2 linked regions of the Mytilus edulis genome follow. The protein of the gene in region 1 interacts with the protein of each later gene in a pairwise test. Links are inferred from orthologs where the notes say so. Each region holds a gene or a part of one and is shown in the gene's direction. Other genes may lie near its edges.

Evidence for each region.
Region 2: the proteins of intraflagellar transport protein 140 homolog (region 1) and intraflagellar transport protein 20 homolog B-like interact in a protein complementation assay, tested with the Caenorhabditis elegans proteins (2 studies listed by BioGRID). The link is inferred for Mytilus edulis from reciprocal best matches to the Caenorhabditis elegans genes che-11 and ift-20.

The regions. Positions count from the first base shown.
Region 1 is NC_092352.1:66,726,715-66,734,549, forward strand, and holds the start of intraflagellar transport protein 140 homolog, read left to right. Parts: upstream 1-4,759; 5' UTR 4,760-4,853; intron 4,854-7,104; coding exon of another isoform or gene 7,105-7,326; intron 7,327-7,490; coding exon of another isoform or gene 7,491-7,655; intron 7,656-7,835. Other genes in the region: uncharacterized protein, read left to right, coding at 2,033-2,776; uncharacterized protein, read right to left, coding at 7,105-7,326, 7,491-7,655.
Region 2 is NC_092349.1:35,083,951-35,091,336, forward strand, and holds the start of intraflagellar transport protein 20 homolog B-like, read left to right. Parts: upstream 1-4,186; 5' UTR 4,187-4,236; coding exon 4,237-4,363; intron 4,364-5,356; coding exon 5,357-5,442; intron 5,443-7,075; coding exon 7,076-7,179; intron 7,180-7,386. Other genes in the region: BTB/POZ domain-containing adapter for CUL3-mediated RhoA degradation protein 3-like, read right to left, coding at 1,434-1,693, 3,529-3,706. UniProt on the Caenorhabditis elegans protein: Component of the intraflagellar transport (IFT) complex B required for transport of proteins in the motile cilium. Required for ciliary entrance and transport of specific ciliary cargo proteins such as che-3 which are related to motility.

The DNA.
Region 1 (7,835 bases):
GCAAGAAACACATCTTGACAAAACCATATCAACAGCAGAAATATTAGACCCAGAACAATATGAGATAGTCCGTAAAGACCGAATAACTGAAAAAGGTCATGAAGGCGGCGGCATAATTAATGCTGTACGTAAGAACATTGTATGCAACGGAGAAGACACACTAGACACTAACTGTGAAATAGGATGGACAAAGATACAACTGAAAGGCTGTAAAGCCCTCTACACTGGCTGTTATTATCGTAAACCAGATAATGATCCTACACCATTACAGAACTTGAATACTTCAATTAGTAGATTAACGCATAATAATACTCTGCCTAACATAATACTTACTGGAGACTTCAATTTACCAGATATTGATTGGGATGAAGAAGACTCAAATGGAGGATACACCATCAAATCAAGCCATAACTATTCCAACGAAATAAACAAACTAGCATTAGACATTGTTGAGGAACACTGCTTGCAACAATGTGTCACAGAACCAACCAGGGAAAAGAACATTCTAGATCTTGTTCTCACAACTAATGAAAATCTGGTACAGAAAATGAGCATTACTGATGGAATGAGTGATCATCAGATGATAATTACAACTGTCAATGCAAGACCAAAGGTAATTAAGAACAAGCCCAGAAAAGTCTATCAATATAAGAAGGGAAATATGGAAAAAGTTCAAGAATATTTGAACAGCAAATATGAAAATTTCAAGGAGAAGATAACAGAAATGAACATCGAAGAGTACTGGACTCTATTTAAAACTCACCTTTTTCAAGCAATGGACCTACATATACCATCCAAAAATCTGACATCGAGATTTAACCTACCTTGGGTGAACCAACACATCAAGAAGATGATACGTAAAAAAGAACGACTATATAAAGTTGCAAAGAAATACCAAACTAAAGAGCACTGGGATAAATTCAAGCAATATAGAAAAGCAGTAAAGACAGAACTTGGTATATCACATAAGAAGTATATATTTGATATGTTAGAAGTAAGTCCATCAACATCAGAAGCTTCAACAAACACACAAGACCAATACAGAATAGGGAAAAAATACTGGAAATACATCAAATCTAAAAAGAGAGAAACAGTGGGAGTATCAACACTCAAAGTTAATGGAGAAATATTAGACAACAGCAAAGGAAAAGCAGAAGCACTTAATGCACAATTTCAATCAGTGTTCACGATTGAAGACTTTCAAAGCTTCCCTAAGATAACTGAAAATGAAACATCAAAAATACCAAGTCTACACATTAGTACAGAAGGGTTAATCAAACTATTAAAGGGAGTGAACCCAAGCAAGGCAAATGGTCCAGACAATATATCGTGCAGAATATTGAAAGAGTGTGCAGAGTCAATATCACCATACTTACAGTTAATCTTCACCAAAACATTAAAAGATCAAAGCGTACCACAAGACTGGCTTATTGCAAATGTCATCGCACTATTCAAGAAAGGGGATAAGAGTCAACCAGTCAACTATCGACCAGTATCCTTGACATCAGTTCCATGTAAAATAATGGAACATATTATATTTAAACACATAATGAACCATCTTGAGAAGTATAATATACTTGTGGACTTCCAGCATGGCTTCAGAAGCAAAAGATCGTGTGAGTCACAACTAGTCATAACAGCAGAGGATATAACCAGAAATCTGGACAATAACCAACAGGTAGATATGCTAATATTAGACTTTAGTAAAGCATTCGACACAGTACCACACCAGCGATTGTTGAAGAAACTAGCATCATATGGTATCGATGGAAACATACTTGCATGGTTAGAAGCTTGGCTGACACAAAGAGAACAACAAGTCACACTGGAAGGAGAAAGATCAAGTACTGCTAAAGTAACATCTGGCGTACCATAGGGAACAGTGTTAGGACCATTGCTGTTTCTCCTATACATAAACGACATCGGGAATGACATAACATCAAAAATTCGCCTGTTTGCAGATGATAGCCTACTCTACCTAGCAATCTCGTCAAAGGATGACTGCAAACATCTACAAGAAGATCTCGACAAAATGGTAAAATGGACAAAAATTTGGCAAATGATATTCAATCCTTCAAAATGCTATGTCCTTACAATAACCAAAAAAAGGAAAACCATCAACTTCAACTACAACATCAATGGTCATATCCTGGAATCAGTTGCATCAAACCCATACCTAGGAGCTGAACTCACCAACACCATGTCATGGGACAAACAAGTTAACAAAGTTGTCACCAAAGGAAATAAAGCACTAGGCTTCATACGAAGAAATGTTGGATCATGTCCAGAGGCAGTTAAAAAACAAGCCTATCTTGTCCTTGTCCGACCGCACCTTGAATACGCTTGCAGCGCATGGGACCCTCACCTACAAAAACATATTTATCAGATTGAGATGGTCCAACGCCGTGCAGCACGCTTTATCAAAAGCAATTATTCAAGGGAGCCTGGAACAGTAACAACTCTTCTAGAAGAATTAAATCTAACACCACTAGAAATAAGAAGAAAAGTAGCACGTATAACACTCTTTCATAAAGCCATCCATGAAAGAGTTGCTATACCTATTCCAACGCACATTATAAAACCAAGAAGAACGTCGAGACTCCACCAACCGAACACTAAAAGATATGTACAAATCAGGCCAAACAAAGATATCTACAAATACAGCTTTTTCCCTAGGACCATCAGAGACTGGAATAAACTACCAGATGAACTATTAGAGATCGTGAGCAGTGAGGAATTCAAGACCAAACTCACCAAGCTCCTCTGTAGATGCTAGCAACACAGACAGTCGATACTGGTAGAAAATGTTTTTAACCTGCACCTGTATATAAATTTTTAGCACAATTTTGGAACCATTGTTTGTAAATATAGAAGTTTATTGTCATGTTGGAGGACGTCAAAAGTTAAAACTATACTTGAGTGATGGGTCGAAGTACCCTTTTCAAGTGACGACATAGCTCCGCTATGTCGTAGATGTAGATGTAGATGTAGATGTATTTCGATGGTAACAGGAACGTACGTTTCTGATATATCACTATACAAAAGTCTATCCTGTTACCTTCAGTTTTTGTCTATCCTGTTACCGATAACAGTATTGCACCTGCGAATGCTTAATTGGGAATATTAAGACGTTATAACCTTAAGATGAGTTCAAACAACGAAATATTTCATTCGTTTTGCACCTATATATTAAGATAAAAAAATTAACGCCGTGTTTGTCTACAATTGTCTATCCTGTTACTGTAACCATAGCAACCATAGTAACAGGATAGACAAATTTCTTTGTTTTTGATTGCTGTTGTGAAATAATTACTCCCTTTGGTGAAGTGATTATGTTTTTGTATTGTGAATTTGATTTCCAGCACGTTATTGCACTTTTTACAAGTATACTGTTGGTGTAATTAATCAAAATTGGTGGTAACAGCATTGACATGAAAAAAAGTACGCTCTATTTTTTTCACTTAATGTCTTGAAATTTCTTTTCTCTACAATGTCGTTCAAGAAACGAGGCGTTTTAAATGTAAAGATTACTTTGCACTTTTGAGATCAACACTGACTGATTCAATATTCATAGGGAGAATAATTTAACGGCTGATTTAAGTAGCGGTAACAGGAAAGACATGAACCTCCTGTAAGCTGATTCAATTTAGTTTGTAGATAATATGTTACATACAATGATAAAGAAGCTACAATTTTTCGTTAGAGTAATATTTAACGATCTTAAAAAGTCCCTTTTGCAGATATCAATGCGATCAGAAAATCGCAAAAAAATCATTTCAAATGTGTTTTTCTGACAATGTACGCACACAAATACCCCCGAAATCGGTCTTAAATGCAGTTTAATCTTATCAAAATAGATGTAAGGTGTGTTTATTATTAATGTTCTGAATCACAAATCCGACAAGCTTTCATTTAAACCATTACAACTGAAATTTCCATTAGAAATGAAAAAAATTAGCATGGGTGTACTGAAAATTCGACATTTTTTTTTAAATGATGCGAGATTTCCTCACGGGAGAAAGGAAGAAAGACCATTCACAATATGCCTTACATTTGTTTTTTTTCCTCTTTTAATTAAATTTAAACTTTCTAATTTAGAGTTTATTAGATACAAATATTCCCTGTGTAGGAACCCCCCCCCCCCCTCTTTCCTCCCTTTTTTCTTAGTTACCATCACTGAGATCCAAATTATTGACAGTCAGCTATATATATAGTTCCCAAATGTATCAAAATCACAGTACTCGATTTTTCGGTACTGACATGATTTATAACGCAATTGTCTTTAAAATAATTGTCTGTTGATGAATTTAGAAAGTATCAAAAACTAAGGTTCACGATACACTTCCCGGCAAATGTGACCGGCGGCTGTATCTAGATAGATTTGGAGTAACCGTTTAGATCCCTTTTGTCAAATATATGCAGCTCGTTACATATTCAAGAACTTAAGCTATAAATATTTTGATTTCACCTTTTTCGATCATTGAACGTTTATGTTGAAGGAATAACCGAATGGACTGAATATATATATATATACCGTCTTAGATAAGGTTTTTCAGAAAGCTAATGCTTGTTATGTGATCCGGTATCAGTATAAAATTCGGGATACAGAAGAATTTTTTTATCATTATTTGTTATTTTAAGAAAATTATTGCTAATAACACAAAAAAACATCAAATTTCAAATAATTTACGAATTTTTATAGTTTTATTTGAATAGAAAAAAGTTTGTTTAGATTTGTTTACGCTTTTTAACAAGTCCCACAATGCATTGCTGAAATATTTTTCAAAATGGAGCACATAGTTGAATTTCCTATGAAATAGCATCACAGTATCCAGGGAAACAACATCTTTCTTGTATGATTGTATACGATCAGCCTCAAAAACTTTAAAGATCTACATATGAGTCTACATTTTCACTGGTTTTTATAATTTTAAATCCGCCGAATCTGATCAAAATATTGTGTAAACATGTCGCAAAAAAAAGGGGGGACGAAATTCTTCGTTACATGTTAGCATTTGCAAAATTTTCTCGATTAAATTTTTGTAGGCTTTTGATAACAAATGTTTTCAACAACAGAATGGGCATGGTACAAAAGACAGAACGATCTTTAGTACTTTACAAGTGGAACAAGATACATTTTGAATGACAAAAGTTTATTTTTTCCATTTTCTACCATTTTTGGAGTGGTAAAAAAAAACAATGAGACAACACTCCATCCAAGTAGCAATTAATAAAAGTAAACCATTATAGGTCAAGGTACTTAGGGTTCTCACTTAGGATTTTTTTTAAGTCCAGGGACTCGTCATTTTTGGCCATGGTCACAAAACAATGATCATCAGTCAGAGCACTCAGGCAGAGCTCAGACATAAACAAGTCGATTTTTGTTTTTGACTTAAAGAAGTTGAAACATGTATTTATTATAAAAATGTGTTTTCAATTTTAGACTTATCTTAGTCAGAAAATGACAGACTTGTTTAGGTCTATTTATTGTGATTAAAAAACTTAACTATAATTTTACTTGGTGGCCAAAGTACACCACCTGTGACAGCAAAAACCCGTCTGAGAGTTCTCAAGGACTTGAGCTATCTATATTTAATTATCTAATTGAACATCCTTACTAAACACAGATGTTTTACCGCATTAAGTGTGGTTCCAGGTGGTTGCATTGTATGGTTAATTAACATTATCTCCGATTTTTTAGACTCTCATTCATATTTTTCTTTAGAAGACAAAGCATTGTCTTTTAATGTTGTCATTATTTGATTTCGATGCATGACCTTTTTATAAATATGCGTGGGTCTTGAAGTTAACCAATTTTGATAACTTATCGACTTGTCAATGCTTGTAGGAGTCGATATTTGCAACTTTTTGATTCTGGTCAATTATTTCTTGCTTAACAATATTGACTTATTAAGGTCGTATTTTGTCTTGCATTAAAGGGAGAAAAATCCTAAAACTAAAAAATTTAGACCTCTATGAGTCAAAAGCAGATTCAGACTTATTTATGTCTGAGCTCTGACTGATGGTGAGTTCAACCGTCAGAAGAAAATATTTTACTAAAATTTAATTTATCATTTTAGTCTCCATGACCTGATAGTGCAATGAAACTTTTGCTATAAAATGATGATATATGTGTTCAGTTTATACAAAATATATCAATTTTGCTGCTTCTTTGGACTTGTGTTTGAAAATGGTGATACCGTATGGCCTTCATCACGAATTCTAGACAGTTCGGCACCCAGACAAATCGGTACCCGGACAAATCGGCACCTACCAAAGACAAATCGGCACCCGTGAAAGACAAATCGGCACCCAGACAAATCGGCACTTAGACAAATCGGCACCTCACATAGACAAATCGGCACCTTATAAATTATTTATCTTTGATCTATATATAGTGAACCAAAAATTATGTTTGAGTGTTATTTATTTGTCTCCTGCACTATTTATAACATTATTGTCAATATTGGACATTGTTTCTTTGAATATGTATCTTATTAAGTGGTTTATTCCTTTTAGTTATTTGTTCGGCACCCAGACAAATCTTTGAATATGTATCTTATTAAGTGGTATATTCCTTTTAGTTATTTGTTTGTGCACAGGACTGTACTGCAGCTTAGTCGTTTTGATAGGTGTATTATTTGTGTGAATTCTTTTTTCTGACTTTATAGATTTCACCACACATGTACTTGGAATGTGCATGTACTAGTTTTAATGTAATCCATAATTCTGTTACCATTGTATCCAAAATCAATAAAACACATGTAGAATATTAATAATATTTATTTATTATATCTATTATATATTATATTCAACAGTTTATGCATACATGTAATAAATGTAATAAATAATAAATAATAATAAATAATAATAAATAAGCTGTATTTAGAGTCTGCAAAGTATATTTTTAACCGACAAACAAAACATTTTTAACAATACAACACATAATACACAGCACAAAATGAAGCACTAAAAGCATGGTTCATGGTTGTAATAAACATGATAAACTAGGTCAAAAGCATACTATAGGTATGAACACAAAGGTTAAATACTGAAATCATAACATAACATATAGACAAGCACTATAAGTCTTAACACTCAAAGTCACTTTGGTGGTGGTCCGTAAACACTGGCACACTCCTTAAGGAGTCTAGACGCGGAGATGCTGTTGTTGCAATACTCGTCCCACAAAGCAAAAAGACGGCCCTGGGTCTGTCTACTCTGTTTGCGCTGGTACCTTTGGAGCTTGCCTTCAGACACTAACTTAAGCACCCGGATATATAAACGTGTATATTCTAATTTCATGCGTGAGAGAGACGATAACAACTAAGGCAATAAAACATAATCAATTACAAAAGAACAATACAAAAAAGGCATCTAGCTGTTGTTTCGGTCTTTTGAAAAAAAGTTATACAGCTGTCCGCTTACAAATCTTATTGAGCGTTCTTGATGGAATCAATTTCATTAATATGTATAGATAACAAACATACCTCTTTCTTTATCATGACAGCTATCACAGACCCTGGTTCTGCTGGGTGGACATGCTCTTTCATACCGGGTTTGAAGTTGTCACCATCTTGAATAACAGTAGCAGGGCAGTTGATGGTCTTGTTACGCTTGGTGCAGCGCCAGAGGATGTGGTCATTCTTCTGTTTCTGCAATCAAAAATAAAAATATATAGGTCTTTTTTATAATTGTAAAAGTTAATAATAGCAGATACTCTCTTACAGCCGACTATATATAAATGTGTATATATCCAATAAAAATTATACTTGCTGTGTTTTATATTAATTTTCTATTGTATAAAATTTTGATATTGTATAAATGTGTGATTT
Region 2 (7,386 bases), on another chromosome or scaffold:
GTCATAAGGTAAAAAAATGACAGCCAATACAAAATGAGAAAATTTTCATGTACATGTTCTCAAATTGTATATAAATGATATGCTCTCGTTAATTATCCATTTTTAGATGGTGACGTTCCCTTGTCACCATCTTACGGTGTTTATATATCTCAACTTGTACGATTCGCTCATGTATGTAACAATGTTTTAGATTTTAACGAGAGAAATTTATGTATTACTGAAAAATTATTACACCAGGGTTTTCGATATCACAAACTAGTCAAAACATTTACTAAATTTTATCATCGGTATAAGGACATCATTCGTAAATGTAGCTCAACATGCAGACTTCTTATACGTTCAGGTATTTCACATCCGATATTTTATGGAAATATTCTTTATAAAGCACAAAGGTGTCAGTATTCACCTCAAAAACTAACAAAACCTTTGAATAGACTTATTAAGAAGGGATATAGTTACGATACTGTTGTCAGGTCATTAAAGATTGCATATTTTGGCGTTAATATTGATTCACTTATAGGGTCTTTGCATCGGAACTAAACACATTTATTCAAAAACCAGTTGTTGGCATGACACGGGTTATGTTCTTCTCATATATGTTATGATGGTATGATACTAAACCCCTAACGGGAAGGATTGTGCCTGATGTTCATATGATGAAATCATAATCTTTCAGTCAGTTTAATGGAAGTCTGGAGCTGGCATGTCAGTTAACTGCTAGTAGTCTGTTGTTATTTATGTATTATTGTCATTTTGTTTATTTTCTTTGGTTACATCTTCTGACATCAGACTCGGACTTCTCTTGAACTGAATTTTAATGTGTGTATTGTTATGCGTTTACTTTTCTACATTGGCTAGAGGTATAGGAGAGGGTTGAGATCTCACAAACATGTTTAACCCCGCTGCATTTTTGCGCCTGTCCCAAGTCAGGAGCCTCTGGCCTTTGTTAGTCTTGTATTATTTTTATTTTAGTTTCTTGTGTACAATTTGGAAATTAGTATGGCGTTCATTATCACTGAACTAGTATATATTTGTTTAGGGGCCAGTTGAAGGACGCCTCCGGGTGCATGAATTTCTCGCTACATCGAAGACCTGTTGGTGACCTTCTGCTGTTGTTTTTTTTTTCTATGGTCGGGTTGTTGTCTCTTTGGCACATTCCCCATTTCCATTCTCAATTTTATCTATTGAACTTCTCTATTGACTTTAGATACATACATGTATCATTTATTTATGATCATGTTTACCAGGACTAGATTACCAATCAAAACACATCCAAACGAATTTAATGTATTGTAAGGCCCAAAAGACATCAAAACAGTCAGATGAACACATGACTTAACCTCTGTGTACAGTTAATCATTTCTTTTTTACTCTACAAAAATGCTCTAGTTAATAATATCAAGTATAACTGTATAACTGTACATGTTGTATACCTTCTGTGTATTTGTGATTAAATGTTGTTCTTCTCTGCCTGACGTGATTAAAGGTACTTTGCAGATAGGATCAACAGCAGCCTCCATCTGTTTTACAGCTGCTTCAATAATTCGTACTAAATCTTGAACTAAGAAGTATTTAGCCTCTTGTAAAAGTTCTAACAATTCTTTTCTGGTTTCTGGTAATGGTACAGATCCATCTCGGAGGAAATTCAGGATTTCTCCAAAGTGGCTTCCACTCCTGTCTATTAATATCCATCCTAAAATAGACACAACTTGATATATAGATATATAATGCTAATCTAATTTTATGGATATAGCTAAGTAAACATATAAGATGTGTAAGGTTTATTAGTTTTTCAAGTATAAATTTTATCATGAGGGACAGATTTAAAATTTAAAATTAGTGGGTATTTCATGATCTTGATGATCAATTAATGTACTTATTTCCCAAGATAAGCAATCATGGCAATGGTAAGTATAAACATGGTAAAGTTAAAAAAAAAAAAGAACCGTTTCATTATCATGCTTATGACATTTATCATTTTTATTAAATCATAATGGAGCAAATTCAACAGCAGCTCAAGTCTTGTCAGAAGTACCACATGTATATTGATGCTACTGTGCTATACCCCCTCTTGTATGCTTGTTCTTAGTCTACAAAATTATAAGACTCAATTGTAAATAAAGGCAACAGTAGTATACCGCTGTTCAAAACTCATAAATCCATGGACAAAAAACAAAATCGGGATAACAAACTAAAACCGAGGGAAACGCATTAAATATAAGAGGAGAACAACGACATAACACTAAAATGTAACACATATAGACAAAATCCCACGAGAATAACAAATATAACATATATATATAACATCAAAACCAAATACATGAATTTGGGATAGACAAGTACCGTGACACGTCTTATCGCAATGTGAATTTACACTCAAAAATAAGAGAAAACAAACGACACAACGTTATAATGTAATACACACAGAAACGAACTATAATATAACAATGACCATATTCCTGACTTGGTACAGGGCATTTTTAAAGGAAAAAATGGTGGGTTGAACCTGGTTTTGTGGCATGCCAAACCTCGCACTTTTATGGCCATATGAAATATAACATCAAAATGACAACACAGGACTACAATATAAATAAATTGGAGAACACAATTGACAAAGAATCACACGAACAACAGCCAACAAAAGGCAACAAGTTTAAAATTTTAATACGCCAGAAGTGTATATTGTCCACACAAGACCTATGTGTGACGCACAGATACAAAAGTTTGAAAGCCGAAACAAGTACAAAGTTGAACAGCATCGAGGACCAAAAGATCAAAAAGGTTGTGCCAAAAACGGCAAGGGTTTTCCGTTAAGTTACCAGAAAATCCCTATAATTTAGAGTAATTTATACTTTTGCAAACAGTAAATTTAATAAAATGAATATTCAAAAGATGTACATGATAAAGCTGAAGTATTAACTAATTACAGGAAACAACTGAAATACATTTACATAACCAGACATTTGAAACACAAAAGTAGACACATCCGAATAAAAGACTGTGTACCACCAACTTATACCAATTGACTGTATAAACCTGTATACATTAGATGAATCCATGTCATATCGCCCTGCTTTTTCACCAACTCGCCCCACTCTTGTTTACCAACTGAGTTGGCAGGAGTAAATTTAACCCTTTTCACAAATGGGGCAATTTTAGAAAATGGTGCCAGTTTATAAAAGAGTGGGGCGATTTGTCCTGCTTCCCATTAGATATACATGTACATAGTATCATCAGAAACAGATGCCAACATCGTCATTGATTTCACGTACATGTCTTCTTCTAAGTTCTTCTGTTGACATCCGATGATTACATGCTGTTGGCATACATGGATTATTTACAATATTTTTACTCCAATTTAAACAAAGTGGAATTAAAGTGCAATGAAAATATCAAATTATATGTATATTATTATTAACCAATTAGGAATAATAACACTGTAATATATATGCAACATTTAACGCTAAATGAACAAGAGTTTAATAGCATCATCTGTGTCATCACAGTGAATTTGACCATGATTTTTACCTTCTGAATCTGTAAGAACCTCCATTCTGCCACTAAACATTGCCCGCAGCATTGTGTCTTGTTTGGTTAATGTCCCAATGGTTGTATAGTGGAGGGATCCACCAACATTCAGCTTCACATACTTGGACGATGTTCCTTTTATCACAGTTTTTGTCTCCCCAGACATAGTAAGTGACATTAAATACAAATTTGTTATAAAATCTTCACTAATACAGTTTGTTCTGTGGTAAAATTTGTCCAATTGTTGTAATAATTGTTTTCCTTTTTATGAAATATGATAATTCAACATGTTTCCTTCTTGAATGAAAGAACATGTTTGTCTTACTGACATTTTAAACAGTGTATTTATACCAATTTCTAAATATAGAATTATTTAATGCCTGAAAGTTGACGTAATGTCTTGGGAGTGATATGCAAAGTTAAAAGAATGTTGGTTTCGTATGCATATGAAAACAACTTAATCTCTGTTTAAATTTTTCCTTTCAAGTTTGGAAGTTACAAACATATCTTTTATTATATTACTTAAAATACAAAATTAATTCTATTATGTTTTAATATTTTGTATTATACGAAACAGTAAATGTAAACAAGTACCTGCTGATTTGAAAAATCTTGGTTTTATTTGCGCTTTGTTTAACAGTGGCTACGTTATTCTTTCAAGCACAAAATTGATTGGACAACTTCCTTGACATTCCATTCTGTTTGAAGATGGCAGACGAAGCTCTTTCAAGAGCTGGTTTACACTTTGATGAAATTAACAAAATTAGAGTCCTTGAACCCGAAGTAGCACAGCAAACACAAGAATTAAAAGAAGAATGTAGAGAATTCGTTGAAAGTATGACATATACTAACTGAGAAATATTGTAATACTGATTAAACCATTTCATTTTTTTTGTATTGAATAATTATTTTTGGTTAGATCATATGTTTTCGTGTTATGCATGCTTTTTAAATGGAAATTGTGAGGTCACAATACATTCTTAATATGAGGCAGGCATTACCTGTAAATGGGGACGAAGTCTGTATGAATTATTTTTTTGTAACTTAAATATTTGTTAAAAAACAAGAAACGGAAATACCGTAACGTTTTCGATGTTGGTTCTGTTGTTAGGGATTTTAGTTGTGACGCTATTTAAGTTATGACGTCATATGCAATGTAAACAAAGAAACGCTATCATCAGGTAACGTTTTTTCATATCAAGGAATTATTAAAAATGAAATTGGTATTGCGTTCCTTCCTATTTTGTACTAGACTGATAAATATATATTTTACTCAAAGTTTCATACAAACGAGACCGGAAAAAGGAAATACATTGTAGATTTCTGCGCAGATGCGGGAATTCAAAACATGACATCAAAAAAATTGAACGATTTTGAGTTCATTCATTGTCCTTAGTACAATGAAAATTTATTTTTAAAATTTTTTTTTTATTGATTTTTCTACTGTTTTTGGGGACTTTGTCCCCATAATATGGTCTCAATAAATACCAACAAGAAGAAATTGATAAGCAACAAGAAGAAAAAAATTGTGACAAGAAACTATTTACTGTTATTGTATCAAACATGTCAAAACAATAGATTTATAGAAAATTTATCATTTGATTATACATGTATTAACTATCCTTCATTGTTTCTTCTTGTCACTTATAAGCATTAACATGACATTTAATATTAACATGATAAATAGCATGAAAACTCACATGGCAAGGAAATATTTATATATCTTTTAAACTCATTAGAGTGCATGACGACTCACCTTTCAGCCAGCTGCCTAGAGATGTGAAAATATTATTTAGCACTTGTCATTTTTTTTTCTCTTTCTTTGCAGAAATTGGAGATTTTCAGAAGATTGTAGGAACTTTTATAGAAGTTGTTGATAATGTTTCCAAAGAAGTAGAAAAAGAAAAGATGAAGGTGGGTTTTAAACACAACTCAGAATACATTGTAAATATAACTAATTTTTACTACCCATAAAAGAAGATGGTGGATTTCCTAAACTGTTTTGCTACATTTTTCTTTTCATTTGTAAAAAAACCCACTTTTCCATCATATATTTGATGTAAAATAAGTAGATGTTTGATAAATGTTTGCATATGAGACAACTAGCAGAGACAAAATGAGGAAATGCTAAAATGAATATAGGTGAATGTGTGTTCTTCAACAATGAGAAAAACCCATACCGCATAGTAAGTTAAAAAGACCAATACATTGAAAAACTTTAAAGCAGTTCAAATGAGAAAATAACCTGACTTTTGGTTAAACAACAAACATAACAGACATCTACCAATGTCAAATATCAAATACATTATAACAGCCTACTAACTTATGCTTGGTACAGGCCCACACAAATTATGCAGCAGGGCTAAATATATTGAACAGCATATATATAATAGAAAGAAAGATGAACTGCTAAAATGTGTTATACATTGAATTAATTTTTTTATATTATTTCAAACAAATATATCAGTATGGGATTTTTTTTATAGCTGTTAATCATATTCATAATCATGTGTAGATCAGGTTTAGAATATCAATAATGTGGTCATTTTCATAAATTTCCTGTATAAAAAACTTTGAACTTTTTGAAAAACTAAGGATTTTCTTATCCCAAGCATAGATTACCTTAGCCGTATTTGGCACAACTTTTTGGAATTTTGGATCCTCAATGCTCTTCAACTTTGTACTAGTTTGGGTTTATAAATATTTTTGATTTGAGCGTCACTGATGAGTCTTATGTAGACGAAACGCGCGTCTGGCATACTAAATTATAATCCTGGTACCTTTGATAACTGTTTACACCACTGGGTCGATGCCACTGCTGGTGGACGTTTCGTCCCCGAGGGTATCACCAGCCCAGTAGTCAACATTTCGGTGTTGACATGAATATCAATAATGTGGTCATTTTCATAAATTTCCTGTATAAAAAACTTTGAACTTTTTGAAAAACTAAGGAGTTTCTTATCCCAGGCATAGATTACCTTAGCCGTATTTGGCACAACTTTTTGGAATTTTGGATCCTCAATGCTCTTCAACTTTGTACTAGTTTGGGTTTATAAATATTTTTGATTTGAGCGTCACTGATGAGTCTTATGTAGACGAAACGCGCGTCTGGCATACTAAATTATAATCCTGGTACCTTTGATAACTGTTTAGACAGAGGCCATTCAAAATGATGCCATTTTAATTTTAAGAAATTTTATGATACTGAATTATTTTTCATTGAGTACCAATTTTAGTTGATTTCTTGAGGAGAAGCAAACCACAAATTTATATATTCAATGCAGTATAATTCATCTATAAAACACTAAAATTAATATTGCTACCCATGAAAATAAATAAATACGTGTACTGGAGACTGATGTTTGGGCTTACTAAAAAAAAAAATTCTCATAAAGACTTAATTTAATGCATAAACTGATGAATACAAGATGTCAATATACAGTCCATAGAATAATTAAACTTTGACATGAAGTTTTGCCACAGCACATCAATGGACTTATACCTTTTTTTTAAAATTCTTATGTAATTTATTATTTGTATATTTCAGGCAATAGGATCTAGAAATTTATTAAAATCTATAGCAAAACAAAGAGAAGCACAACAACAACAGCTGCATGCTTTAATCACAGAAAAGAAAATGCAATTAGAGAGGTAAATATTTGCAAATTTGCAGACACAAAATATTGTCCTTTTATTATTATTATTTGATCATGTCAAAAAACAAAACATAAAAAAGTGAAGGATATTTGCCTCTCTATTTTAATTAGTAAAACTATCAGCTACATAATGTGTGTTAGTTCATGATGTGAAATTCTTACACCAACATAAAAAAGCAAAGGAACTTTTGTTATTCATCCT